5 linked regions of the Oryctolagus cuniculus genome follow. The protein of the gene in region 2 interacts with the protein of the main gene of each other region in a pairwise test. Links are inferred from orthologs where the notes say so. Each region holds a gene or a part of one and is shown on either strand. Other genes may lie near its edges. The genes, in order: TRAF3IP3, KASH5, CYBC1, TMEM11 and GALNT2.

What was found.
Region 1: the proteins of KASH5 (region 2) and TRAF3IP3 interact in binary tests that used the Homo sapiens proteins (3 or more experiments, as listed by UniProt). The two-hybrid records come from large-scale screens. The link is inferred for Oryctolagus cuniculus from reciprocal best matches to the Homo sapiens genes KASH5 and TRAF3IP3.
Region 3: the proteins of KASH5 (region 2) and CYBC1 interact in binary tests that used the Homo sapiens proteins (3 or more experiments, as listed by UniProt). The two-hybrid records come from large-scale screens. The link is inferred for Oryctolagus cuniculus from reciprocal best matches to the Homo sapiens genes KASH5 and CYBC1.
Region 4: the proteins of KASH5 (region 2) and TMEM11 interact in binary tests that used the Homo sapiens proteins (3 or more experiments, as listed by UniProt). The two-hybrid records come from large-scale screens. The link is inferred for Oryctolagus cuniculus from reciprocal best matches to the Homo sapiens genes KASH5 and TMEM11.
Region 5: the proteins of KASH5 (region 2) and GALNT2 interact in binary tests that used the Homo sapiens proteins (3 or more experiments, as listed by UniProt). The two-hybrid records come from large-scale screens. The link is inferred for Oryctolagus cuniculus from reciprocal best matches to the Homo sapiens genes KASH5 and GALNT2.

Annotation. Positions count from the first base shown.
Region 1 is NC_091444.1:24,608,729-24,614,009, reverse strand, and holds part of TRAF3IP3 (TRAF3-interacting JNK-activating modulator), read right to left. Parts: intron 3,870-5,281; 5' UTR 3,810-3,869; coding exon 3,465-3,809; intron 1,555-3,464; coding exon 1,407-1,554; intron 1,265-1,406; coding exon 1,201-1,264; intron 955-1,200; coding exon 930-954; intron 347-929; coding exon 317-346; intron 214-316; coding exon 118-213; intron 1-117. UniProt on the Homo sapiens protein: Adapter protein that plays essential roles in both innate and adaptive immunity. Plays a crucial role in the regulation of thymocyte development.
Region 2 is NC_091449.1:8,007,042-8,012,322, forward strand, and holds part of KASH5 (protein KASH5), read right to left. Parts: intron 2,321-5,281; coding exon 2,216-2,320; intron 1,217-2,215; coding exon 1,030-1,216; exon of another isoform or gene 842-1,029; intron 611-841; coding exon 546-610; intron 540-545; exon of another isoform or gene 420-539; coding exon of another isoform or gene 164-419; exon of another isoform or gene 1-163. UniProt on the Homo sapiens protein: As a component of the LINC (LInker of Nucleoskeleton and Cytoskeleton) complex, involved in the connection between the nuclear lamina and the cytoskeleton.
Region 3 is NC_091448.1:649,341-655,096, forward strand, and holds the start of CYBC1 (cytochrome b-245 chaperone 1), read left to right. Parts: upstream 1-2,388; 5' UTR 2,389-2,543; intron 2,544-2,815; 5' UTR 2,816-2,817; coding exon 2,818-2,902; intron 2,903-3,406; coding exon 3,407-3,448; intron 3,449-3,645; coding exon 3,646-3,719; intron 3,720-4,094; coding exon 4,095-4,191; intron 4,192-4,955; coding exon 4,956-5,100; intron 5,101-5,474; coding exon 5,475-5,595; 3' UTR 5,596-5,756. UniProt on the Homo sapiens protein: Functions as a chaperone necessary for a stable expression of the CYBA and CYBB subunits of the cytochrome b-245 heterodimer. Controls the phagocyte respiratory burst and is essential for innate immunity.
Region 4 is NC_091448.1:65,901,530-65,907,467, reverse strand, and holds the start of TMEM11 (transmembrane protein 11, mitochondrial), read right to left. Parts: upstream 3,346-5,938; 5' UTR 3,257-3,345; coding exon 3,195-3,256; intron 1-3,194. UniProt on the Homo sapiens protein: Plays a role in mitochondrial morphogenesis.
Region 5 is NC_091444.1:49,920,858-49,926,138, reverse strand, and holds part of GALNT2 (polypeptide N-acetylgalactosaminyltransferase 2), read right to left. Parts: intron 5,261-5,281; coding exon 5,157-5,260; intron 3,666-5,156; coding exon 3,539-3,665; intron 1-3,538. UniProt on the Homo sapiens protein: Catalyzes the initial reaction in O-linked oligosaccharide biosynthesis, the transfer of an N-acetyl-D-galactosamine residue to a serine or threonine residue on the protein receptor.

The sequences.
Region 1 (5,281 bases), on a different chromosome or scaffold from region 2:
CTCTCTTCAGCAGTGAGAAAAATCCCTTCTGTTACTGGGATGGTGTGGGAAGAAAGATGAGATGGGCACACCTAGATGCCCATGAGCTTTGTTGAAACAGAGACTTTATTCTCTTACCTTCCATGAGCTGTCAGAGGCCCGAATCAGCGTGTTCAGTAGGTCCTGGAGAATCATCATTTTCTGTTTTAGGACCAGCTCCCTCTGTAGGGCTTCCTGCGCAGGAGAGGGCAGAAAGACAAATTTAAGAGGATAAGAATTTTACCCTGGAGGAGGAGCGGGCAGGTGGATGGAGGAGCGGTAAGGAGAGGCCACTTACTTTGAGGTACTCGGAAAGCTGGATGATTTCCTATAGAGAAAGAAAAAGGTGTTCACGTGACTCTTGGTTCCCTGAATCTCTGGGATGTGGAACCACAGCTGGGTTGGCTTGGGTAGAGCAAACCTCTTCTGCCTTGGGGCTGTAGGCTCTGGAGTCCCCAGGCCATCCAGTAAGAACTGCCCCCTTCATCTTTTTTTTTTTTTTTTAAGATTTATTCATTTATTTGAAAGTCAGTGTTACACAGAGAGAGGAGAAGCAGAGAGAGAGAGAGAGAGGTCTTCCATCTGCTGGCCCACTCTCCAATTGACCGCAACAGCCGGAGCTGCACTGATCTGAAGCCAGGAGCTTCCTCTGGGACTTGCACACGGGTGCAGGGGCCCAAGGACTTGGGTCATCTTCCACAGCTCTCCCAGGCCACAGCAGAGAGCCAGATCAGAAGTGGAGCAGCCGGGACTTGAACTGGCACCCGTATGGGATGCTGGCACTGCAGGCAGCGGCTTTACCCGCTATGCCACAGCACAGGCCCGTCCCCCTTCATCTTGGCCTGAGTTTATCGTGGAATTCCAGAATTTTGTATCTTAGAGAAACCCCTTCAAAGTGGCAATTTTCTTACCTTATCCAGAACTGCCACTCCATAACTGGGAAGAGAAGAAGAAAAGTCAGTGGACATTAAGCAAATCAGGAGGCAGCAGGTGGATTCTTTCTGGGATCCCTTCTGAACAGCCCTTGGGGTGGGGAAGGGCTTCTTTCTTCCTGATTAAAGTGGCATGGAAAGTCACTGTGCTCCCTCTACATGCTGGGTAGAGGTGTTCAAGTGGGAGCCTAGGAGACAGGGATGGATGGGCTGTGTAGGTGTTAGGGGCAGGACTGTGAAAGGAACTCACTTGGTTTGCTGACTGGCATCGTTTTTCAGTGTCGGCTGTGGTTCTTCTGCCTTGGTCTGAGTGCCTGGGAGAAGGAGGATAAGGTGACTCAGATGCCATGGAGAGGGTATGAGGGAGAGGAGGAGGGACAGGGACTCTCCACAGCCAGTGAGCTGGAACTGTGGATTCCCTGTAGATCCAGTCATGCCAAGGAGCACTGCCCTTACCACGGTGATGTTTGGGCAGCTTCCTGATGGAAGGGTCCTGTGGTGGGAGGCCCCCTGCCAGGGGGGAGGGCTGGTCAGCTAGACCCCTCTGGACGTCTGCGGGAGGGTGCTGCTGGCCTGGAAGGCTCTTAGAGCTGGTCTCTGCCACCTGGAAAGCAAGTAGGGGATGCTGAGAACCACTCCCCAGAGCCTCAAGGAAGCAGATTCTCCAGATGATTGGAGAGATCACATCTGCTGTGGCCCGAGTGCTTGTGTGGAGCCCTGGGGAATGGTCAGGTCAAAGTGGAGCCCTCATGATGGTTCCAGCACCCTTTCATGAGCAGAGACACGAGACGGTGTGCCTCCCTGTCTGCTCTCTGCCCTGTGAGGATGCGATGAGAAGGCCATCACTAGCCCAGGAAGAATGTCCTCACACACTGACTGCCAGAGCCGCTAGCCTGGACTTCCAGCCTCTCAGACTTGTGAGAAATAAGTTTCTCTTGTTAAGGCCTCCCAGTCCCTGCTGACTGGGGACAGCAGTGCAAGTGCCCAGGACAGCAGTTCAGCTCCAGGAGCCCACTCGAGCCTTCCAGGCCACAAGGTTTCCGCTGCGTCTGCTTGCCAGGTCCTGCCTGGCAGCTGGATTTGCCTCTAACAATTCACTCCAGAATCCTTGCCTATACTGTTTGGTCCCAGCCAATTACTCACCCAGGGTGGCAAGGTGGAAAAAGAATTGAGTGGCAGTGGGTAAGGGGCTCTGGGTTTTAGATCCTGCTTTTGTGGTGTCAGTCTCCTGCCTGTGCAGTGGGGAGTTTGGGACAGATGACTCGCAGGGTGCTTGCTTTATTCTAGAGCTAGCTTCCTTCCTCTCTGCTGGAGAATCTCTGAGATTTTGTGCGAAGAGAAGGTAAAGTAGGAAGCTGAGGAGAGGGGGTGGTGGTCGTGGCCACAGCTTGGTTTGCTCTTTCTATCTTGTGTTCTTGCTAACACAGGAAGTCTGTGCTGGTGACATCCCCGTAGTACCTAATCCCGCGGACAGAGATTCAGTCTCAGTAAAACCTCACATGACTGATAGGTGGACGTGGAACTCTGGAGTTCTTAATGAGTTGTAGTTGCTCTACTTTTCTTTCTGGATTTCTTTTCTTCCAACAAAACGCATGCAGAAGTCGTTCTGCCTTAGGAAGCATAGAGTTGGTTTCCTTTTGCTGTTGAGCCGCAGGATCTTTTCTTTGAACAGCCCTCCCGTTACGCAGAGCAGAGCCCCAGGAAAGAAGCCCCGATGGAGCTGCTACTCAGAGTACGGCACAGGGCCAGGTGTTTCCAGGGAATACAGCAGACCCATCCGTACTGTCAGTGTGCTCACAGCATTGGTGGGCAGACACAGATGGCTTGCTGGCTGAGGTCGGATCATCTCCACATACCCTGGCGTTTGCCAACACTGCTGCTTCCCAGGCCAGACCAACGAGCTCTCTAAGCGTTACACAATCTTAGAAGATTTATAACCCCACAACCCACAGAGAGCAAGAGTGGCCTGGAGAGGCCAGGGAAGGCTTCTTGGACCAGATTGAGGCCTTAACTAAGTGAATTTGGTAGAACTGGAATGGCCAAGGGAAAGCGAGAGGGTGAGCAGATGCAACAGACTTGCAGAAGAATAGAGGACCAGGTGTGTGTGTCTGTGTCCGCATGTGTGTTGGGAGAGGGGACATAAAGAGGGTTGGCCTGTCCTTGGCATATAAGGATTCAGTAAATATTGCATGAATGATGGGTGGGTGAATGCTGTAAAATAGCTTAGCAGATACTATAGATTGCCTAAATTTGAACTGACACTAGGTATTGCAATGGGATTGTTCATAATTTTTTTTCTCCCAGAAGGTAAGTGCAAAAAAAAAAAAAAAAAAAAAAGAGCTAAACAAATAAAGGAAAACACTAGAACAAAAATCCCTGTGTGACTAAATAGCTGGCAAGTGGAGACTTTCGTATTTGACCAAAGAATAAGAGATTTAGTAGAACCATTTTTTCGTGACCTTGAGCCCACCCTCCCTCCACCTTGGGAGCAGTGCGTCCCTGGACATGGCCCACCTGCTGTCCAGGGGAGGAGATCCTGTTGGCACAAGACAAGGACCCATTGAGGGTAGCGGCCTGGCGTGTCCTCCTGGAAGGGCCTTGCTCCTTGGCCCCGGGAGGCCGTGCCTGGCCTCGCTCCTCCACCTCCAGCTTCCTCCTCTGGAAGAACTGCCGTTGTCGAGCTCGCTGGAGCTGCTCTCTCTGCTGGGTCCTCATTGCCTTTCCCACCTGGCGGCAAGTGGTCATGTTGGGGCGACAGCGGCGGCTCTCACGGGTCTCCTGCCGGCGCTCATACTTGGCCTCGTAGCTCTCAGCCCACCGGGCCAAGCCGGGGGAGGGCCTGGGGTCTGGCCTGATCATGATGACCTCCCGAGCACCTGTTGCACTTGGCTTCCACTTCCTTGCATAACCGCCTGGACCCTGCCAAATGCCAAGAGGGAGGTGTCAAAAGACAGGAAGAAAGATGACCATCTCCCTGGTCTAGTGGGCAGAAATAGCACAGCGTTCCATCCACATGTGTCGAGCACTGAGGACGTGAGAGTATCCAGCTTGGAGCCTGCACTCCTGGGCTTAGTCTCTGGCAAACTAATAAAATCTAAGAAAAGCGAATTCCTGATTTTCTCTAACCTGCGTCAACCCTCTGTGAAGTGCTCGGGTCTCTCTGGATACCACTGCTTCTTCTAAGGCATGAGAAATAATTGACAAAATTAGAATGATCTCATTCTGCAGCACGTGTGTTCATTTTGAAGCCTGCCAAGGATACAGCTAAGTTGACCCTGTTCCCCTTAATCTCCCAAACCTAGAAGGGGAGTCAGCATTTTTACTGCTCTCTTGGCCTACTTTGTTACTAAAATAGTCAAGTGACACTTGAGACCCGGAGGGAAAACCGATCCTCCTCAGGAAGTGACGAGGCCTGGGACCAGCAACCACTGCTGTCTTCCCGGCCCTTAGCAACCAGCTTGTGCTCCTAGTCTGCTGGGTCCTCTGTCGTCCCGGCATGGGTCCATTGGCACCCATTTCACTCTCAGGGCTGGGTTCTGGTTCGCATGTGCAAATCAGATCAAATCAGCATTGGTCAAGCCCCTGCCACACGTCCAGTCCAGGATGAAACCCACTTCCGTGCATCTGGCTCTCTCGCTTGGGAAGCTGAGGGTTGCATATTTCTAGAATCACCTCCCGGTGAGGGTTAACTCTGCTTCCAAGTCTGCTTTCCTTAGTCCAGACATGGACTGTGCCATCCAAACCAGCACACACATGAATCACACCTCAAAGAGTCTGTCCTGTAAACAAACAGAATCAGGAACCCAAAGTCCCCAGGGAACCAGGTTTATGGTGTAGAGGCTGTACTTGACACCTTGCATGTTGTCTTCCCTGCCATTTCCAATGCACCTGAACCCAATCCCTTCTTCTTTCCTGGCCTCTTTTGTTCTTTCCTGCTCTCCGCACCTACCTGCTGTGAATTCGCTTATTCTCCTAGGATGCTCTGGGAGCTTTGCTGAGTGGGGTTGCACTTGAGCTGGATCCTGAGTTTTGGAAATCCTGCGCCGAGCCTCTGACCACTGGGGTCAGACCTGGGACTGATGAAGGAAGAGGGACTCCCCCTCACAGCTGCTGTCTCCTTTCTCCAGCTCATGACCTCATTACCACCCCACCCCCACCCCGGGAACTTCAGTTCCTGGGTAGGTCAGAGAGGTGGTATCTTAGCTCCACCAACCAGCAGGCATTAGCCAGCTCTGGCCATATGGGTTTGCTTATAGGCCAAGCAGACTGCACAGGTAGCAGCCTCCCTGCCCTTTTATTGGGATTCTGCTGCCTATCCTTGCTTAGTCTAG
Region 2 (5,281 bases):
TGGACCACTGCATCACAGACCACCAGTGTGCCTGCGGCCCTGGGGACGCCATGGTGAGCCAACCAGCCTGGCGGGGCAGGGCAGGCGACCAGCACACTTCCCCGTGGCCAGGCGCTCCAGGGCAAGGCGGGGAGGGCTGTGAGGGGTGAGCGAGGGGCTTTGCCTGGGGCAGCCGGGGCTCTCCCTCTGCAGGGCCGTGGAGGATGGATGAAGAAGACAACAGGGTGCGCCAAGGCCCCTGCTGGGCAGGTGAGGCACTGCAGCATGGAGGGCCCGAGGGTGAGGGAGCAGGAAGGGGGGGGCAGGGCCCTGCAGGCTCTATGATAGGGCTGGTGTTGGGCAGAGAAGTTGCAAATAATCCCCCTCGGGGGAAAAACAGCCCCCCTCCCCCTCGAGCTCTGGGGAGCGTGAGGGGGCATCACAGAGGCGCTCAGCTCCTGTCTAGCGCAGCGGCCCGGGGGGCACCCTGTGCCCTGCTCGCCCCAGGCGGGAGTCCCGCGCTCCGACCCGGGTCTGCCTGCTTTGTGCTATATATAGCGTCTCACCAGATGGCAGCTGCTGAGAGGTCAGGACTCCCTCGGAGGCGGGCCCCTCTTCCAGCTCTAATCCCCTGAATCAAAGGCACGAGGCTTAGAGCCCCCCGCAGCACTCCGAATCCCGACCTGAGCCAGCAGGGGATTGTGGGGTGGAGGAGGGGCCTGGGTCAGGTGAGAGTGGGCGCCACGGGGAGGAAGGTGAGGCCAGATGGCCAGAGCCCGGGCCCAGATGGGAAAGCGGGAGGGGCTAGGGCTGGGTCTGGGGTTGGGGGGGCCCTGCCAGTCCCCTTTATTTCTGCTTCCAGGCCCCTTCCTCCTCCTCTGCTGAGGTGTTTTGTCCTCAGACCCCTGACATACTCCCTCCAACTCCATCCCCTCAGTCTCGTTCCAACCACAGTGGGTCCCTGGCCTGAGTGGTGCTGGCCGCAGCAAGCAGGCAGGCAGTCAGACCTCAGGAAGGACTTCCCCAGGGAGCGGAGGTATGGGCACTCACCCATGCAGCTGACAGGCAGCGATCCAGTCCCGCATGACCACCAGGAAGGTGTCCAAGTCCACGGTGGCCCCAGAGCCCTCCCCACTGGGGTCCAGGCTTTGGGCCAATGTTTGCAGGCGCTCATCCTGGGGACCCCGGCCCGTCACCGCCTCCAGGTAGGCCAGCACGTGGGCCACAGCCACAGTGCCTGGACAGAGCATGTCACGAGGGAGTCAGGGGCAGGTGGTGGGTGGGGACGGGCAGTGGCTCGGTCGTGTGGCACTCTGCCCAGAGCCCGGGGGCTCGAGTCGTGTGGCACTCTGCCCCAGAGCCCGGGGGCTCAGGTAGTGTGGCACTCTGCCCCAGAGCCCGGGGGCTCGGGTCGTGTGGCACTCTGCCCCAGAGCCCGGGGGCTCGGGTCGTGTGGCACTCTGCCCCAGAGCCCGGGGGCTCGGGTCGTGTGGCACTCTGCCCCAGAGCCCGGGGGCTCGGGTCGTGTGGCACTCTGCCCCAGAGCCCGGGGGCTCGGGTCGTGTGGCACTCTGCCCCAGAGCCCGGGGGCTCGGGTCGTGTGGCACTCTGCCCCAGAGCCCGGGGGCTCGGGTCGTGTGGCACTCTGCCCCAGAGCCCGGGGGCTCGGGTCGTGTGGCACTCTGCCCCAGAGCCCGGGGGCTCGGGTCGTGTGGCACTCTGCCCCAGAGCCCGGGGGCTCGGGTCGTGTGGCACTCTGCCCCAGAGCCTGGGGGCTCGAGTCGTGTGGCACCTCTGCCCCAGAGCCCGGGGGCTCGGGTCGTGTGACACTCTGCCCCAGAGCCTGGGGGCTCGGGTCGTGTGGCACTGGGGCAACACCTTGGGCAAGTCCCTTCCTCTCCTGAGTCAACATTTTCACCTGGAAGTGGGGCCCAGCCCTCCTGACCGCACAGGGTCCACCAGGGAGGACGGTGACGAGGGCCGGTGCTGGCGTGCACACTTGCCTCCCTCCTCCGTCCCAGGCCCCCCAGCCCCCCTTCCATCAGCGCCCCCCGAGTTCCCCTCAGCCTCAGGGACCTCCACCACCTCGCCCAGTTCCATCCCAAAGCTCTGGACAGTCACCTGCTTCGCTCTTGCAGGAGCCTCCGAAGGGTCCCCAGCCTCGTCCCCTCTCGCCCCCCCAGTTCCCAGCACCCCCCGCACTGCCTCCCCAGCCCTGCCCTCCGGTCCCTCCCACCTGTGCTCTGGGGGTCACAGGCTTCGAATGTGGAGTTGAGTATTTGCTCCTCTAGGCTGAGCAGCATGCCCGGGCTCAGCTCCTCAGGCTGCTCCCAGGGGTAACCTGAGGAGACAGGAGGCCCAGCTCTGCAGCGAGCAGGAGCCTGGCCCTCGGCCGCCGGGCTCTGCACAGGGAAGGGAGTCCACTCAGCCACCTGGAGCTGGGGCCGGTGGGGGACGGCAGGAGGTGGGGGACGAGAGTCTCCGAGTCACGGCCCCTGGCAGGTCCTGTCTTGCAGGCCAGGAGGTCCCCCCGCTGTCTAACCCCAGTGGCTCAGCCCCCAGACAATGAACACTGACACTGCTTCTCCTCTCCAGACTCCCGAATGCGCACAGAAGGGGGCTGGGGTGGGGAAGGACAAAGAGGAGAGGATTCTGGGAGGACCCAAGGGTGAAGGGGGGCGGGAGCCAGGAACAATCCGATACAGTGTGGGCAGCATGGATCGATGTCGACCGCTGCATCTCCGGCCTCCCAGCCTGCCCTGGGGACCAGGTCTGTCCCCACCTCACGCCGCCCTGCGGACAGAAGCGAGGCTGGCCTCGCACAGAGCCCACGGCCAGGGGCCTGAGATGCGGGGAGAGAGGGTGGTCCTGGCAGGGGAGCGGGAGCAGCCGGGAGCCGCATCGCTGTGTCAGACTGAGCTGGGCGTGGAGCCCATCTGCGCATCTGTAGACAAATGGCTTCTCCTTTTGGAGCGCCAGTTTCTCTCCTGGATAAAAAGGGGGTGGGGTGGGCAGGGCCACCCCTCTCTCCAGGGCTGGGGGGGGGGGGGTTAGCTCTGTATCTGGGAAGGAACCCACTCACGGGTCTCCCAGGGTCTGTGTAGACACCTGAGCACTGTGCCTGTATGCAGCCGGTGCTCAATAGATGCGCTATCACATCCACGGAGACCTCGGGCCCAGGGGCTGTGGGGCTGGCCCACTCTCTCCAGGGCCGGAACTGACCTTCCAGACTCTGCTCCGGCCGTGGACAGCTGGGGCAGCCGCTAGCTCGCCGAGGGCCGCCCACCAGGGACGGCCAAGCCTGGAGCTGTGCAGCCCTAGGCTGTGCCGGCTCTGGGGGCACGCCTTTCCCGTCCCTTCAGGAGGCTGTCACTGCTCTCCTGTTCTCTCCGCGTCTGTCTCCCTCTCTCCCTGGCTCTCAGCCTCCCCCTGCTGCGTCTCCCCCTTTGTATCCTATCTTTTTTCCTCTCTCATCTCCGTGTTTCGTGTTTCTCGGGGCGGCTCTCTGTCCTTGGGCCGGCTCCCCCCACCCCCCACATCTTCCCCATCTCCATCTCTCCTCCTGGGCGTGTCCCTCCCTTCCCTTCGCGAGCTTCCTGGAGCTGGCTCGGTCCCTGCTTGGAGGTTGCCGGTGGCTGCACGCCCTCTGCTGGTGCAGGTGACGTTTCGGGGGCGCCCCTAACTGGTCGGCCGGCACTGCATCCCGCACCTTGGCACTGGCCTTGGCGCCGCCCGGAAAGCATCCTGAAGCCAGTGTTCAGGCCTGGGCCTTGGGAAAGACGCAGGCTGTGCTGCTGGGTGCCCAGGGAGCGGAGGGAGTGGCCTTGCTTCTCTCGCTGGCCTGGGCCCGCCACTGGGGAGGCCTCCTCGCCCATCAGACCGCGCTCTCCTGCCTGGCAGACAAGCTTCCCCGGGCCGCCCACCGCCTTCCCCCTGGAGCCGGCTGTGCGGTCTGCGCCCACCTATGTATTCAGCAGTGGGAACCAACAGGGCAGCCACTGGCTACGCGCGCTCCTGAGCACGTGGACTCCGTGTGAACTGAGACGCTCTGCTAAAGTACACACCGGGGCCTGCAGCGTGGCACAGCGGGCTGGGCCTCCGCCTCCAGTGCCGGCATCCCATATGGGCGCCGGTTTGAGACCCGGCTGCTCCACTTCCAATCCTTCTCTGCTGTGGCCTGGGAAAGCAGTGGAGGATGGCCCAGGTCCTTGGGCCCCTGCACCTGCGTGGGAGACCCGGAAGAAGCTCCTGGCTCCTGGCTTCGGATCGGCTCAGCTCTGGCCAGCTGTGGCCATTTGGGGAGTGAACCAGTGAACCAGCCTCTGTCTCTCTGTAACTCTTTCAAATAAAATAAATCTTAAAAAAAAAAAAAAAGTACACACCAGATCTTGAAGATTTTGTGTGGAAAAAAAGACTGTCTCATATTGGTTGTATACGCTGCTTGGATCTATAAGGCTCAATACTATCTATTATTACTTTTTTTTTTTTGACAGGCAGAGTGGACAGTGAGAGAGAGAGACAGAGAGAAAGGTCTTCCTTTGCCATTGGTTCACCCTCCAATGGCTGCCGCGGCTGGCGCACTGCGCTGATCCGATGGCAGGAGCCAGGTGCTTCTCCTGGTCTCCCATGGGGTGCAGGGCCCAAGCACCTGGGCCATCCTCCACTGCACTCCCTGGACACAGCAGAGAGCTGGCCTGGAAGAGGGGCAACCGGGACAGAATCCGGCGCCCCGACCGGGACTAGAACCCGGTGTGCCGGCGCTGCAGGTGGAGGATTAGCCTAGTGAGCCGCAGCGCCGGCCTCAGCTGTTTCTTTTTAAAAGAATTCACAAATTCCTATGTGGCCCACATTTTTTGGGGCAGTGCTGTGCCAGGGACCAGGGACCAGCTGAATGAAGTGTCCCCTGCGGAGCTCCTGTGGGGAGAGGGACTGAGCAGACGCAGACGTCAGGGCCGTGAGGGAGAGGTGACGGGGAAGGGCTGACAGACGGCTGTTTCCCCTAAGGTTTGGCGGTGGCAGCAGGGTGGCCATGGGCGTGGGAGGCGGGGAGCTGCGGGGACCGGGAGGGCATTCTTGGCCAGGGCTCAGCACAGGCACAGGCGACAGCTGGCCTCCCCAGTGCACACACCCCAGGGATACAGACCGGTGGGCGGGCTCACGGGAGGCGCTCGGTCCATCACTGCTCCCTTCCTCCCACCCTACATCTGTGTGGAGGTTCAGGTACCCCAAGCCACCGCTCCCAAATCCGAGTCTCGGCCTGGTGCCCCTTCACCCCCAGCTCCCCTGGCGCGGAAAGGGGCCC
Region 3 (5,756 bases), on a different chromosome or scaffold from region 2:
TCACCCCCCAAATGGCGGGGCCTGGGTCAGGCCGACGTCAGGAGCCAGGAACTTCACTTGGGTCTTGCACGTGGGTGCAGGGGCCCAGGCACTTGGGCCGTCCTCTGCTGCTTTCCCAGATGCATTAGCAGGGAGCTGGGTCAGAAGTGGAGCAGCCGGGTCTTGAACCCGCGTCCACACGGGATGCCTGTGCTGCAGACAGAGGCTTTACCTGCCCAATGGAAACACTTCTACCTGAAAAATTCTCCTCACCACTGGTTACACTGCTATAACCTTATAAAAATAGGCAGGATAAATGTTGGATTCCTTCTCCTAATCAAACAGCCAAAAAGCCCTGATTGGTAGTCACTTCCAAAGTGAACAAAGTTTAAAATGTCACCGTGACCTGTGGGTTTCGGCTCGATTTCCAGCGGCACCGCTGCCTCGCCCATCCGAGGTCCTTCCACAGAGGTGAAGTGGTCTCCCTAAGTGGGAATCGACATTAAAACCCACAAAGCCGATACTGAAATTGTGTGCTGCTCCCGGCTTGTCTTTGTAGCACTTTTAAGCAGACAGTACTGGGAAACATACTTTTTTTTTTTTTTTTTTTTGACAGGCAGAGTGAACAGTGAGAGAGAGAGACAGAGAGAAAGGTCTTCCTTTGCCGCTGGTTCACCCTCCAATGGCCGCCGCGGCCGGTGCACTGCGCTGATCCAAAGGCAGGAGCCAGGTGCTTCTCCTGGTCTCCCATGGGGTGCAGGGTCCAAGCACTTGGGCCATCCTCCACTGCACTCCCGGGCCACAGCAGAGAGCTGGCCTGGAAGAGGAGCTACCGGGACAGAATCCGGCACCCCAACTGGGACTAGAACCCGGGGTGCCGGCGCCACAGGCAGAGGATTAGCCTAGTGAGCCGCGGCGCCGGCGCTGGGAAACATACTTTAAAAAAACAGTTCTTATTTATTTTCATCCACTTAAAAGGTAGAGCATGAGAGAGAAAAAGATATCTTCCACCTGCTGGCTTCCTCCCCAACAGCCAGGGCTGGGATAGGTTGATGCCAGGAGCCAGGAACTCCATCTAGGGTTCTCATGTGGGTGGTAGGGACCTGAGTCCTTGGGCCATCATTGGCTGTTCCCAGGACACATTAGCAGGAAGATGGACTGGAAGCAGAGGAGCCAGTGGAACTGGCACTCAGAAACATTCTTTTTTTTCTTTTCTTTCTTTTTCTTTTTTTTTTTTTTTTTTTTTTTGACAGGCAGAGTGGACAGTGAGAGAGAGAGACAGAGAGAAAGGTCTTCCTTTTGCCGTTGGTTCACCCTCCAATGGCCGCCTCGGCCGGCGCGCTGCAACCAGCGCACCGCGCTGATCCGATGGCAGGAGCCAGGTACTTCTCCTGGTCTCCCATGGGGTGCAGGGCCCAAGCACTTGGGCCATCCTCCACTGCACTCCCGGGCCACAGCAGAGAGCTGGCCTGGAAGAGGGGCAACCGGGACAGAATCTGGTGCCCCGACCGGGACTAGAACCCGGTGTGCTGGCGCCGCAGGCGGAGGATTAGCCTATTGAGCCGCGGCGCCGGCCCAGAAACATTCTTTAAATGTTTAAAATTTGAGGGGCGGGCACTGTGGTGTAGTTGGTAAAGCCACCACCTGCAGTGCTGGCATCCCATATGGGCGCTGGTTCGAGTCCCGGCTGCTCCACTTCCCATCCAGCTCTCTGCTGTGGCCTGGGAAAGTGTGTAAGATGGCCCAAGTCCTTGGGCCCTGCACCCGCGTGGGAGATCTGGAGGAAGCTCCTGGCTCCTGGTTTCGGATTGACCCAGCTCTGGCTGTTGAGGCCATTCGGGGAGTGAACCAGCAGATGAAAGACCTCTCTCTCTGTCACTCTCTTTCAAATAAATCAATCAAGTTTAGGGGCCGGCGCTGTGGCTTAGTGGTAGAGCCGCCACCTGCAGCGCCGGCATCCCATAGGGGCACCGGTTCAAGTACCGACTGCGCCGCTTCCGAAATGCAATTGCGGACTTGACCTGCCCAGTGCCGACGGCGTTATCTCCTGGCCGTTCGCTATCCCGTGTTCAGCAGCGCCAACCAGACCAGGTGCGGTAGTCGCTCCCTTCACACGCGCACAGCTCCCCGGAGGTTGGCCTTTACCCGCGCACACGGCCGCACCGGGAAGCACCGGCTGTGAGCGCGGTGCAGGTCCCCGGCGACGGCGGCAGGCAGCAGTCAGCACGTCCCGGCCGCAGACGCCGTGGCGGGCAGAGGTCCCCGAAGGGCGCTGCCCAAGCGAACTTCCCGCAAGCTTCCGCTGCGTGAGCCGGCGAGTGTGCGCCGCGCAACGGCGCGGCGTGCGCGCGGGCCGCGGGCCCCGCAGACCCTCCGTGCGCCCCCGCGCCCGGGCCCCGGAGGCCCCGCGAGCCCGGAAGTCCGCGCGCCCCGCCCTCGAGCCCGGAAGTCCGCGCCGCCCCGCCCCGCCCCGTCGCAGGTTCGCGCCCCTGGGTGGCGGCGGGTGCGGACGGGCGCGGCGCGCTTCCTCGGGCCGGCGAAGGCGCCCTGCAGCTTCCCGTCAGGTGGGCGCGCCGGGCAGGGCCTGGGGCTCACCTCCGGGGGGCGCGGCGTGTGCGGGGGCCGGGGTCAGACACCCGAGTTCACTGAGGCTCGTGAGGCGCGCCCTGCCGGCGTGGGCTGTGGTCTCGAGCTGTCCCGGCACTGACGCGCCAGGCTCGGGTCCGCGGGGCCCGCGCGGGGACGAAGGGTTCCGGCAGTTCCGGGTGGGGGGTGCACCGAGTGCGCCTGGGGCCGGGTTTGCTGGGCTGACCGGCGGGCGCTGCGTGTCCTGCAGCGATGTACATGCAGGTGGAGACGCGCTCCAGCTCCTGCCTCCACCTCAAGAGGGCCCCCGGCGTGCGCTCCTGGTCCCTGCTGGTCGGTAAGGCCGTGGGCAGCACGCGGGGCACAAAGCACTTCCTCCTTCCGCTGCCGGCGGCGCTCTGGCTCTCGGGTCCCCGCGCGGGGCCGGCAGGCGCCGCTGTCCGCCGCCCTTCACCGAGTCCCGGCGCCGGTGCTGTGATGCGCGGGTCGTGGGAGGGCTGCCCGCGCGCCCGCGTTTCCGGTTCCCTGGCTCAGTGCCCTGCGGGAGTCCACGTCTGCCCCTCGCGCCGGTGGCTGCCCGTGGGGAGCGTCCTGTGGCCCCTCCGGCACCGTGTTTCCGGCGCGCGCTCTGACCCCCTGCCTGGCTGGCTTTGCGCCCTGCTGTGGTTTTCGGGCCTTCGTTCCTCAGCGGGTGCTGCCAGGGTCACCCCCATCAGGACAGTCTCCTGAGACCGCTCTGGGGCCCGCACGGGTCGTGTCCAGTGAACACTGCACTCCAGGCTGCCCCGCCGTGGGAAGGGCCCGCGAGGACCCAGTCGGAAGCCTCTCGCTCTCTTCACAGGCATCTTGTCCATCGGCCTGGCTGCTGCCTACTACAGTGGAGGTACAGGACACCTCCCCAGTGTGCCCCGTTTGGGAAAGTGTGGGTCAGCAGGACAGGTGATGGCCAGGGCCCGCACGGGCACGGGCACTGTCAGGCCTCCCCTTCCCCCCGCCCTAACCTAGTGGGTCTGGGGTCAGGCTGTGCTGGGCAGGGTGCCTGCCGGCACTCACGGGGTGGCGTCCTGCGTCTGTTTCCAGATAGCCTGGGCTGGAAGCTCTTCTATGTCACGGGCTGCCTGTTGGTGGCCGTGCAGAACCTGGAGGACTGGGAGGTAAGGCCGTCAGGTGGGGCGTGGGGGGGGGGGCACGCTCGGCTCTGGGCCCTTCTGCAGCAGGAAGGTTCCGGGTGGCTTAGTGCTCCGTTCCCGTCCTGAAACACCTGTCCTAGCCGGTGGCTTCGGTGTAGCGGGACGTGGCCCCTGAACGTTGCCTGTCGGCGCTTGGGCCAGGGACTCCTCTAAGGGGGTCTTCCTTCTGAAGTACCCTGTGACTGGTTTTGCTCCTGGGGCTGCCGTGGCAGAGGGCGAGTGCCATCCTGTCCCCTCCCTGGCCTCAGTGTCCTTGCCGTGTGCTTGTTTGACCCCGGGAGGGCACCTGCCCCACCCAGGACGGGGAGTGGGGGATGTGCTCAGCACTCTGGTTTCCAGGAAGCCATCTTCAACAAGAACACCGGCAAGGTCATCTTGAAAACGTTCAGCCTCTACAGGAAGCTGCTGACTCTTCTCAGAGCAGGCCACGACCAAGGTCAGTGTGCAGAGGAAGGGAGCCCAGAATGGCTGCTCAGCGCCTGAGGCTGAGACGCATGCAGCCAGCCAGGGTCCCCCCACGTCCCCGGCCTGCAGGGCGGGGTCTAGGCAGATGCCCCAGGTCTGGAGAATCCTGGGTTCTGCAGAGGCGCAGCCTGCCGGGGCGGTGGAAGGGGCTAGGGTGCATCCTGGCTCTGGGTTCTCCCCCTCCCCCCACTGAGCTTCCTTTGTCTGGGTGGTGGGGTGGTTGTGGGGCCCGGGAGGCAGGGTTACAGCAGTGAGCAGGTGACTGGAGCCAGCCACACTCCTCTCTGCTCCAGGGGTCACACGGCTTTTCCTAGGCCGTGGCCCTGCTCGGCCTGTGGGGAGGGATGGGTGGCTAGAGGAAGCCCCGGCCTGGAACAACTTCTGAGCCTGGAACTGGTTCAGCTGGGAGTAGGCAGAAGGTGCCACAGCCACTATCCTGGACCCTGAGGAGCTGGTTTCCAGGGCATCACAGGGAATGGCCAGGAAGCCCCCGCTTAGTGATTGGTCATGGGGGCCTTAGCCTTGGGTGTGCACGTGAAGACAGGAAGGGCTGAGCTGGGCTGTGGGCTCACACGGGTGTTTTGGCTCCATGATGGGAGCCCTGGGTGTGGCCTCACCAGGAGATTCTCGGGCCCAGGCTTGGACAGGGAGAGGTAAATGCTTTTGCCACTGACAGGTGCCTCGTGGCACAGGTGGGGTCGGGGACGGTGTGGCCACTGACCCGTCCCTCCACAGTGGTGGTCCTCTTGAACGACATCCGGGACGTGAACGTGGAGGAGGAGAAGGTCCGATACTTTGGGAAGGGCTACACGGTGGTGCTGCGGTTTGCCACGGGCTTTTCCCACCCTCTCACCCAGAGTGCTATCATGGGCCACCGCAGGTAAGACCCGGCTCAGGGCGGCAGTGCCTCATGCAAGGCGTGGCTGATCTGGCTAGAGCCTCCCACCCTGTGCCTCGGCCCTGTCGGATGACCCTCATGACTGATGGCCCAGTGTTGTGGGGCAGGAGGGGCAGGAGGGGCAGGAGATGCTAGTGTGTACACAGGAGGGGGGCCTGAAGGGGAGGCACAGGCTTGTGACAGCCCTGCCATGGCCACCTTGGAGAATTGGGCTAGGGTCAGGTACAAGTGGGACCAGACAGGAGATGTGGGGTCTGATTAGAGCCTAGGGGCTGCTGGACACGGGTGGGTTGGGTTGGGACTGGTGTGGCCTCCTGCTGGCTGCCGCCGGCTGACCTGGTGCTGGCCTCGTCCAGTGACGTGGAAGCCATCGCTAAGCTCATCACCAGCTTCCTGGAGCTGCACCACCTGGAGAACCCCTCGGAGTTGTCTGAGAGCAGCGACAGCGAGGCCGATGGTCCTGGGAGCCAGAGCTGACAGCCCAGGCTGGCCCTGCGTCCGGTCGTGCCTCCAGCGGAGCGGCTACCGTGAGGCCTGCCCAGAGAGCTGCTTGTGCCTTCTGGCCCTGCTGCACGGACTGCGCAGAACCACAGGCTGCGCCTTTTCCGAGGGCAGGGCCAGGGGGCGCTGGTGGGGGT
Region 4 (5,938 bases), on a different chromosome or scaffold from region 2:
AAACACTCTGGTTCTCCCCTGCCCGGGTGTGTGGGGCACAGGGGCAGCGGCCAGGCGGCACCCCGTGCAAGGCCCCTCAGGCCATTCACACCTAAATGAGCTAAAACCAGATGAATCCCCCACCCCAGTCCTCGGGCACACCCAGCTGTCAGGACCACGAGTGGCTCCTGGCTTTTCCCAACAACTCCACGCTCAGATGCCGCCGGCACCAGGGCAGACCCGGGACACCTCCCACAGGGGCTCCCTGGACAGCAGCTCAGAAGGGCACGGGCAGCAGGCTCCATGCGGCTGGACCCAGAGTGCCTGGGTGAATCGGGGAGAGCAGAAACTCCCCCCACCCCAGCCCAGGGCTGGCGCTGTGGCTCAGCGGTGAGAGCCACGTGGGAGCCCCGGGAGCCCCCACCCTTCCCCAGCCAGGAGAGCTGAACCTCCGCCCCACGGTGGCCCTGGGTGCAAATCCTGCGTGCACTCATCTCAGCCCGACCAGGGGAAGGAAACCATTTGCCACGGCATCCCGGGTCTTTCGGGGGAAATTAAAGCCCCCAGACTCTAAGGGCTCTCAGCTCCGAAAGGAAAGCACGGGATCAGGAAGGGGGGTGGCTGTCGCCCCAGAACACAACTCCACCACACTGGAGGCTCCCGGGCCCTGGGGTCAGCAGCACCGGGCACCCACCCCGCCACGACCACCTGAGACCTCGTCCACCGGAACCCAACAGGAGGACGAGGTCCTGGGGGGACCACAGCACGGCACAGGAAGACGCACAGGTGACCTGCGGGCTTCCCACCGGGATGCTGCACGGACCAGAGGGGCGGATGGTGCGGAAGGCCACCGACCCCAGGAACCCGGGCGCCCTGGGACCACACCCGCGGGGACTGCTCGGCGGCACGCAGGTGGCAGAACACACAGATACCTGCGCTGGGCTTTCCTAGATGGGCACGCGTGCCTCAGCGACGCCGGCGGGACCAGTGGCAATCTGTGTGGCGTGCTCGCCGCGGCGGGCTGCGCTTTGGGCAAGAACTCGGGCTACAGCTCAGAGTCTGCTGTTCTTCACTGCAGACACTGCTGGGTCCCTGGATTTAACGGAGTGGAGAGGAAAGTCAACACGGAGGCAGCCAGCAGCGGGCCTCGGAGCCCCTTCTGCTCCCGCCTAGGCCAGCTCTGTCCCTGCAGACTTCTGCGCTGTCCCGTGGGCCGGCCACCAGCCGCGAGAGCCCACCTCGGGGACTTCTCCCGGGCACCTGGCTAGCAGCGCCTGAACTGCGGTGAGTCCAGGCGCTTGTTCCCGGCTTGCCCAGAGGTGGCTCAGGACAGCAACACGTGGGGACACTGGCACTGGGCACGGAGTCCGGGGCGCAGGCCAACCTGGCAAGTGCGCCCACAGAGCCGCTCTGCACGGCACCCGCCGGCCAGGTGTGTGCAGCTGAGATCTGCGCCCGCCCGGCTGGGACCCGGGGCAAAGGCATTTCAGAGAGTGGATAGTGGGGGACCCGGCGGGGTGGGGGTGGCCTCGCGTCAGCAAGGCTCTGCCCCGTATCCCCATCCAGCGTCCGCGCTCGCAGGACCCCAGGGGACACCTCCGAGAGCACCCGGCGGGGGCCTCACGGCCCGGAGGGGGCGCTCTCCGGCCACAGCACAGACCTGGAAGGAGGGCAAACGGCGATACCCAAGTAGCCGAGCCAGAAGGCTCACACACCAGTGTGTGAGCAGAAGCCTACAGCTCCAGGCTAGAGGTCGCCGCCGGCGAGCCAGGTGAGGAGCCACACGCCGCGTGCACCTGCCCAGGCCTGCAGCCAGCCAGTCCCCAGTCCCCGCGGACGGCCCCCGTGGCCTCCGTCGGCTGGACAAGGCCCCGGGGATGCCGGAGGGCAGCTCCCCGCCCAGTGAGCCCCTGGTTCAGGCCGACGGGAAAACCACGCTGGGGCTGTCTTAGCCGCATCCTCGTGGGCCCTTCCGGCCCCTCCCCCTGCCTGATCCCGAGTTTTATAAACAGACTACTTCCTGCCACTCGAGAGGAACGCTTGCATGAACGCCTGGAAACCCAGGCCGTAACCTCGGCCCACGGGCTGAGCCACGAGACGCCAGGGCCGGGGAGACACACAGCAAAGTCGGCCCTGCTCCTCGTTTGCATGCAAAAAACTCCCGAGGTCCGCGTCTCGGAGGGGCTGGGATCTTCCAGAAGTTCCCAGAAGACGCCTTAGTATGAAAAAAAAAAAAAAAAAGCTCCGCACGGACTTAACAAGTTTGCACCTAAGCAAATGCGTCCTTTAATTCAACTGCCCGTGCACCGATCGGAAGTAGCCACAACACAGAAAAAAATCCTCTGTTCACCTGCCGGCCCCTGCGTCTCCCAGGCAGACGGCGGGGTGCTGGGGGTCCCAACGCGGCCGGGCCCGGCCCCCCAACCAAGCGATCACCCCTGCCGGCCCCTGCGTCTCCCAGGCAGACGGCGGGGTGCTGGGGGTCCCAACGCGGCCCGGGCCCGGCCCCCCAACCAAGCGATCACGCACAACAGAGACGGCGCCTTTCCCGCTTAAGCCTCACCCGGGGGAATTAGAAAAATAAAAGGCAAGATGGAAACTCTGCTGTCCCAGCCTGCAGCCCAGGCGGCTCCGCCGACTCTCACGCGCGCGTGCACCCCCGCAGGCCTCCCACCGCCCGCCTCGGCTTCCCCGACCCCGGCTGCTCGGCGCTCCCGGCACACGCACGCCCGCGGCCCCCGAGCCGCGACCCACGCACCATTCATTGTCCCGCAGAGGTCACGTCAGAGGACTTCCGCGGCGCGCCCGCCAAGTCGCACGAGGCGTCCCGCGCGCCTGCAAGGCCGGCGGGCGAGCAGCTGCGGCCCGGCGAGGGTCCCGCGGAGACCGCGCCGCCCTGGCCGCCCCCCGGGCCCCCGTCTCGCCACGTGCGTCGGCCAGGCGGGGCGCGACCTCTGCGCCGCCCCCTGCCCGCCGGCGGCCCTGCGGGTCCCTAGGGCCCCGTGCGGCCCTGGCCGTCGCCTCTCCCTCCGGGCCCTCGCGCTCGGCCCAGGCCGCCGCGGCCCGGCGGCTCCCACCGCCGCGAGCCCGGGCGCCCGCGAGCCCCGGCGTGGGGTGAGGGCTGAGCAGCGCCATCCCCGCGTCCCGGGAGGCCCGCCGCGGCCCCGCACCCCCGCGCCGCCCGCGCCCCGCCGGCGCCGAGCCCCGCGCCTCACCTCTCTCGGGCGCTGCCGCCGCTGCTGCCCGGGCCGAGACGCCTCCTTCCCCAGGCGGCCATCTTGGAGACACTCGGCTCGCCGGCGCCGGCGCGGCGGCCTGGGCGGGGCGGGCGGCGGCGGGAAATGTAGTCCGGGCGTGCGCTCGCTGAGGCGGCTGGGAAATGTAGTCCTGCGCGGACCCGCGGGGGCGGCTGGGAAATGTAGTCCGCGCGCGCGCTCGCAGGGACGGAGCCCGGGGCCCAGGGCGGCCCCCGCCGCCGCCACCGCCCCCCGAGTGTGTGGGCGCCCACCCGCGCGGACGTTCTTGGGTGTGCAGAGCGCGCGGGCCAAGGGGAGCGGGAGGGAGGTGCCTACAATTCCCAGGGGTGCGTGGGCCGGGGGCTGGATCCGAAGTGGAGCAGCCGGGGCTCGAACCTGGGTCCATCTGGGATGCCTGCATCGCAAGCGGCAGCTTAACCTGCTGGCCCCCAAAATCAACACCTCTACATTCTTCCCTGACCGGGACCCCTGTCTGCAAGGGGGAATGGTGGAGGCCTGAGACCCCCAGGGGCCAGTCCCCCCCTTGCCACGGTCCAGCCCTCAGACGAGGAGGCCACAGCCCAGGCTGGGGGGAGGGGGCGTGGTGACGTCATGGAGGGCATCGGCAGGGAGAAGGCAGAAGAGGGGCAGCTTGGCAGAAAGGGCGGGGTGCAACCCCAGAGACCCAGAGCAGCCCTGCGGCTCATGGCACTGCATCAACTCTGTTCTTCAAATCGTTCAAGCCTGTAGTCCTGCCTCAGGACCTTTGCAGGTGCCATTCTGGCTCCCTGACAGGTTCCTCCTCCTCCGGATACTTTCATAGCTTGATCTTCCTAGTTAGGCACTCACCTGCTAGGATAAAAGAAAAAAAAATACTTGGTGACAATAATTCACTTTCTCCTTATGCTTGTTGCCTCGGGGTCCCAACATGGCCACCACGCCTCCAGACATTCCATCCACATTCTAGATACTGCATTCCCTGACCTTCTGCCCCAAAATGCCTGACTAGATGCCCTTTTATTGATTTTTTTTAAATAAATATTTGAACTATTTATTAAAAGGCGAGCTCCGGGCAAGATGGCCTGCAGTCTCCCAGACCCAGAGTTGGGGGTGGGGGCAGCGGCTGCCTGCTGGGAAGGGGTCGCCCACGGGGAGGAGCTTCCAATGCCTGTGGAGGTGGAGGAGGGGGCTGCTACCCCACCCCCGGGGCTGGCTCAGGCTGCTGTGGGTCAGCTCCCAGCAGCACAGCAGGGGAGGGAGCAGCAGCACCCCGCCCCCTCTCCATGAGTTCAGGCCCCGCCCCCTGATTGGACTTGAACTTGGGGGGGGCTCCACCTCCCTCTCCACCAACCTCCTGGCATGTGGTCCAGGCACCTTTTCCAGTCACTGCCCAGCAGTCGCCTGGGGTGGGGGAGCGGACCGCGGGGTGGGAGCGGGGCAGGAGCCCCCTCTGGTCCCAGCACTGCCACCAGTGCTCTGATGTCAGCCTGAGGTTCCCACTGCGGGGCTTCACTGGGTTTTCCTAGGAAGGGGAGAGGGACATATGGGTCCCCAAGGCCCTGGAGCTGCAGAGAGAGAGAGAGAGAGAGAGAGAGAGAGAGAGAGAGAGGTCTTCCATCTGTTGGTTCACTCCCCAGATGGTCTCCCACGCAGGTGCAGGGGCCCAAGGACTTGGGCCATCTTTTTTTTTTTTTTGACAGGCAGAGTGGACAGTGAGAGAGAGAGACAGAGAGAAAGGTGGGCCATCTTCTACTGCTTTCCCAGGCCATAGCAGAGAGCTGGATTGGAAGAGGAGCAGCCAGGACTTGAACTGGCGCCATATGGGATGCCGGCAGTGTCACAGGCGGTGGCTTTACCCGCTCTGCCACAGCGCCGGCCCCTTGTGCCTCTGTGTACCCAGTCTGATGGGCTCACCCAGGAGACACACCCAGCCTGTGCCTCTGGCTCGCCCTCTGGGCTCACACCAGACACGGTAGCCGGGGTCAGGACCCCAAACCTTGCCTTACCCCACAGTGTGCACGCTGGGGTCACCCTGCCTTTGGTGACCATGGACAGCGCTGGAGAACACACGGCGGCGCTCAGGCCCTGCTGACGCCCACACAGGCCCCTGCCTTTTGGAATCCACATGCTGTGACCCCACCATGTCCTGTTCCAACCCCTAGGGATCTGGTGACCATCCTCCCAGGTCCCCTGGTCCCTTCAGTCACCCCCTCAGGCAGGACGGGGTCTGGAAGAGCCCCTCTGCCTTCCCACAGCCACAGCGGGCCCTCTCTCTGGGGACAAAATTGAATTACAAGATCTATTTAGGGGCTGGCGCTGTGGCATAGCAGGTAAAGCTGCCGCCTGCAGTGCCAGCATCCCATATGAGCGCTGGTTCGAGTCCTGGCTGCTCCACTTCTGATCCAACTCCCCGCTAATGCACCTGGGAAAGCAGCAGAAGATGGCCCAAGTATTTTGGGCCCCTGCCACCCACATGGGAGACCCAGAGAGAGTTCCAGGCTCCTGGCTTTGGCGTGGCCCAGCCCCAGCCATTGTGGCCATTTGGGGAGTGAACCTGCTCGCTCGCTCTCTCTCTCTCTCTCTCTCTCTCTCCCCTCTCTCTCTGGTTTGCTGTCATCTTTTGCACCTGCTCTGTGGCTCTGTGTCCTGCCCCCCGCCCCCTGAGGCCACCTGAGCTTACGGCAGGGAGGGTCCCGTCCGTGCAGGGGCCTCTCTCTCTCCAG
Region 5 (5,281 bases), on a different chromosome or scaffold from region 2:
GCACGAGGGGCTGGGAGCGTCACGGCCATGCCTGGGGTTCCTACGGCTTGAGGGCACAGGCAAAGCGGGGGTTTCCTAGGAGGGAGCGGAGCCACATCCCTAACTCACACACTCACGGAGGGATCCCCGAGCCACGATGAACAGGGCCCTGGGACACATCAGTGTTGAAGGTCGGACAAACATGAAAGGCTACCGAGCTGGGTAGCCGTCAGCAGCATACCCTGCCAATGGTTCTTTTTAAAGCGTCCGGGAAGCAGCGTTAACACAGCGACCCTCTTTGCTCTCCTGTCCTGAACCCACTTCTGAGGAAGGCGTACGGTGAACCCTCACGTGGGACATGCTGTTCTTGCACAATAAATACGCTGGGGAGGCGACGTGCCCTCTGCTCTCCCAGCAGCACCCTTGAATGGCGAGCCCTTCAAATGATCGGAGCTAGACCAATGAACGTGATTTCTGTGAGAGGCCGCTATCTTTCCTATAAAGTGACGTGTGCATCTTCTTCCTCTTACTGAAGTGGGCCATGGACGGTCAGAACGCCACTGAGGAGACAGGCAAGACAATACGCATGCACGGATGCTCTGACCCAGCAGTTTCACTTCCAGAAATTTACCTCAAGGAAATAATCCACCGGGAGTGAAAATATATGTGAAAATATGCTCACTTCAGCACTGTTCATAATGGCAAAAAAAAAAAAAAAAAAAAAAAATCAGAAATCAGAAACACATGTGGCCAAACACACAGGGAAGTGATCAAATAAATGAGCGTCAGGTGAGCTCTGTGGTCACAAAAACTGCAGGTGTACGTCTTACAACGTCCTTGACTCAATGTTGGATGAAAAACAGACAGACTACAGGCCAACACAGAGTGGATACGTGGTGGGGGAGGGAGGGGACAGAGCAAGGGAGCGAGGGAGAGAGACTGAGAGGCTGAGACATCAGATTACAAAAGTACCAGGGCACAATGTGGTTTAACCATGAGACCAGTAATTTCTTGCTTTCTCTCTATGAGAAAACACATAAATATAACCATGAGTACTGGGAGTGCTGGGGACACTGGTTCTCAAGGGTTATTTCTCAGGAGAGCCATTCCATACTCCGAGAGGCACCCTGGGGTCTTGCTGAGTGACCCTGCCTTAACCTGTGCTCTCCCGAGGTGTGACTACAGCCCTCTGGCACGGGCTTTCTCCAGCAGGAGGATGCTGGATTCGGTTCAAGGACGCTGCTCCAGGTCCCTTGCAGCCCTAACAGTTTAAAGGTTTTGTGAATTCTAGCCACACAGTGTTTTGCAATTGCTTAAGTCCTTCAATGATTAAGTCATTTCTTAATTAATCACTAAATGCAAAACAACCTATTCTGTCTACTGACTAGAGAAAGATGATCAAGGCAGCCTCAAAGCACGAGCTTCATGTGCTACTTAGTGCTGGTTTCGCTTGTTCATTCACTGGGGTATTAACTCGACACCTATTATACCGCAGTCTTCTTGATGTGACAAATACAGGAACACCTGGGATGCAGCAGGTAATGGCTCAAGTACTGGGGTCCAGCCCATCCATGTGGGAGACTCAGATGGAGTTACTGGATCCTGGCTTTGGCCAGGCCCCGCAATGACTGTTGTGGGCATTTGGGGGAGTGAACCAGGGGATGGAAGAGATCACTCTTTCTGTCTCTCCCTCTCCCTGTCATTCTGCCTTTCAAATAAATCAATCAATACATGAAAAAGATAAGTTAGTAATCATCCCCATTCTCCACCCCAAAGCTTTCCCATTTGAGGAGGGCACCCCATCAGCACCTGTGTGACAAACACCTGGGTGTGACCCTTAATTCCTTGTTCCACCTCCCTGGTCTCTGCCATCCATGAGTAATCACAGGGATGGGTGCTGGTCCCAACTCTGTTGTCATATACCTGCTCCAGGAGCCCCCTCTGTGGCCTGGGCTACCGTAACAGGGCTCAGAGGCCCCCTGGTAGAACAGGCATAGGCACCACTGCTTTATCATGGTGTCTTCTCCTAGCACCTCCGCCCAGCAGGACCTTTCTGAGGCTTTAAGCAGAGAAGTCAGGCCCCTGTTTAAAACCCCCAATGGCTTCCCTGTGCCATCAAACAACATCCAAGGTTTCCCAAGACCTCAGGGGTGCAGCCTCAGGCCTGCCTAACTCTTCCCACACCTGCCCACTGTCCCCTCGTTCCCTGGGCTCCTGTCACCTTGGCTTCCTTGTAGTCCTGGGGTGTGGACGTGCCAACCTGCCCCTTGTGTCAGCAGCCTGGACCTGCCTCTGCTGCAGGGACCCTCACTACTGCCAGGTCTAAGCTCTCACACCTGCTCCTCGGCCCCTCCACGAGCTCGCGCCCCTGCCTGTCCAGGTCTACGCACTTTCTTCCTCACAGCCTGCGGTAGGTCAGTCTTTGAAACCATGTCCTTTGCTGTGTGTTTCACTGTTGACCCCTGGGAAAAGGGAACCTCCCCAAGGTCGGACTTGTACACTGTTCTATCTTTAGCAACCAAAAGAATTCCCTAGGAAAAAAATCTGATGTGATGGAATGGCCATCTGCGATTCTTCTCCAGAAAGTTCGTCGCGTTTTCGAAAACCTGCCTATGTTCTATCATGAATTCTATCCACATGTCACGGTCTCTCTGGGTATGACTTGATTTTAATATCTGCCATAGTTTGAGAGCTGAAACTCAGGCTGAAATGCAGCGGCTGTGATAACAAACTGCCAGTGTTAGGAGGTGGTTAGGCGTGCGGGCCCCGCTCTCAAAGGTGGAGCGGGTACCACGGAGAAGGGCAGGCTGGCTGCCGCTTGTCCTCTCTCACCCTTTCCGCCCTGAGGTGCAGCAGGGTGGCCTTCGTCAGGTGCCCGCACCTCCACACTGCACGTTCCAGTCTCCAGAGCTGTGTACGCTTCTGTTCCTTCTAAATCACCCACTCCGTGGTATACTGCTCCAACAGTCCAAGGCTATATAATCTTTAACTGTGCCTTGGGTAGTAAATACATAAACTGTTCTTCCCTTGGGATGGCTTATGGTGCCGTGGGTTAAGCCACAACCTGTGATGCCACCATCCCATTCTGGAGGGCCAGGTTGTGTCCTCGCTGCTCCGGTTCCAATCCAGCTCCTTGCTAATGCACTTGGGGAGGCAGCAGAAGATGGCCCAGGGCTAGGGCCCCTGCCACCTATGTGGGAGAGCAGCCTAGCCCAGCCCAGTCTGTTGCAGCCATCTGGGGAGTGAACCAGTGGATGGAAGATCCGCAGATGGAACAGAGCTGCCCCCCAAATGCTCTGGAACTGCCCCCTCCCGTCAGTCTCCCCAACCCCAGCCTTGGCTGCTACTGCTCACTGTCACTAGAGACTCACCGCAGTGCCCTGGAGAGGGGCCCGTACGACCGCGTCAACAGCCTGCTCCCCTTAACTGTGAGTGCAATCTGTTGTACGAACACAGCACTCCTGTTAAAGGACACCTGTTCCCACACGGCCTGAGGTCCAGGCCTGTCTCAGAGGCAGGCAGTCGCGTCCCGGTCCCTGCTCACCCCTTCACTACTCACCGCGCGAAGACGGTGCCGCTGCCGCCCGGGAACGTGTAGGGGTGCTGCTTCCGGAACACGTGTCCCACGCGGCTGCACGGGATGATCTCCAGGCTGCCACCGCACTGCCACACGCGGAACGAGATCTCTGGGATGGTGGAGGAGACACAGGTGACCCAGAGAGTCGGGGGGCAGCTCTGCACCGGCCCGTGGGGACCTGCTAAGGGACTGGCTCCTTCCAGGGTATGGTCCAGAGCTGTCCACAGGGGGCATATCCGGCACACCTTGGATCTTCAGGGTAATGCAGAACTCTCTCCCGGGGGTTAAAAATTCCAAGGCCTTTCCTGTCCAAATGCCTTCTTCAACCCAAACCCTGCCTAGAGGGCAGTGCGTCACCAAAAGCCCTTAAAGAGTGCCGTGACACAGCCTAAAGCAGCTTCCAGGCAAAGGGCCTCTGGAGCAGAGACACCACCTCTGACTGTGACACCTTAGAATAATGGAGAAAGTCGGGGCTGGCGCTGTGGTGCAGTGAGTTAAGCCCCAGCCTGCAGCGCTGACTTCCCATATGAGCGCTGGTTCAAGTCCCGGCTACTGCACTTCCGATCCAGCTCTCTGCTATGGCCTGGGAAAGCAGTAGAAGATGGCCCAAGTCCTTGGGTCCCTGCACCCATGTGGGAGTCCCAGAAGAAGCTCCTGGCTCCTGGCTTCAGATGAGCTCAGCTCTGGCCGTTGCGGTCATTTGGGGATTGAACCAGTGAAATGGAAGACCTCTTTCTGTAACTCTTTCAAATAAATAAAATAATTCTCTCTCTAAAAAAAAAAAAAAGAAGAAGAAGAAGAAGAAGAAGAAGAAGAATGGACAAAGTAACAGGTGGCCCAGTCTTTGATTTGAGACAAAATAAAAAAATGACCATGGCCTCTGTTGTAAGTAAAAAGTTCTCAGAATGACAAGGGGCCTCAGTTTCCCCCCTGTCCCCCCGGGATTCCCTCCCCCAAGGATAAAAGCCATTGAACATCGTTCAACAGACAGGAGGGGCGGCTCAGGACCCGAAAGTCAAGGCTTCCCGAGAAACAAGCCAAAAGAAATCACGAGCCCTGAAAAAAACGAACCAAGCAGACAAAATACGAGCGTCCTCCTGTCTTTCACGCAGTGAAAAGGAGGGAGCTACCTTTGTAGACTACAGTCTGTAACATTTCATTGCTCCTAAACCTGGGTAGAAATGAGGTCCATGGTTATTAAAAAAGAAATTAGGCCACATTAGAGCCATTCATGAAAATCATCACGAAGGGGTTAATTGCCAAGGCCTCCTCCACCCAGTCTGACTTCCCAGATTACAATACAGTCCACCCCCAGCCTCCAACAGCTCACTCTCGCTCTGCCTGGCTGGAGGCACCAGGGTTGTTTCCCTCATCCCTGCAGGTCTGCATTCCAAATCCCTGGATCCTCGGCCTCTCCCTTTAAGGACTTTCTCTGTCTTCTGGCATGCTGTGTGCTAACAAACAGGCACACGTTCTGTGACTGACGCAAGGCGCTCCCAGGAGTGTGTGGGTGCTGTGTGCACACACGGAGGTCTTCTAAAGTTCTCCTCCCCACGCACCCTGCCCTGCCCTAGCTGCCCGCCACGAGCGGGATACGTACCCAGGTTCTCTCCACCCCACACGTCCATCATCATGTCGTACTTCCCCAGCTCCTCGAAGTAGAACTTGTCCATCACGAACAGCCCACCGGCAATCATGGGTGTTCTGGAGAGGCAGGAAGAGAGG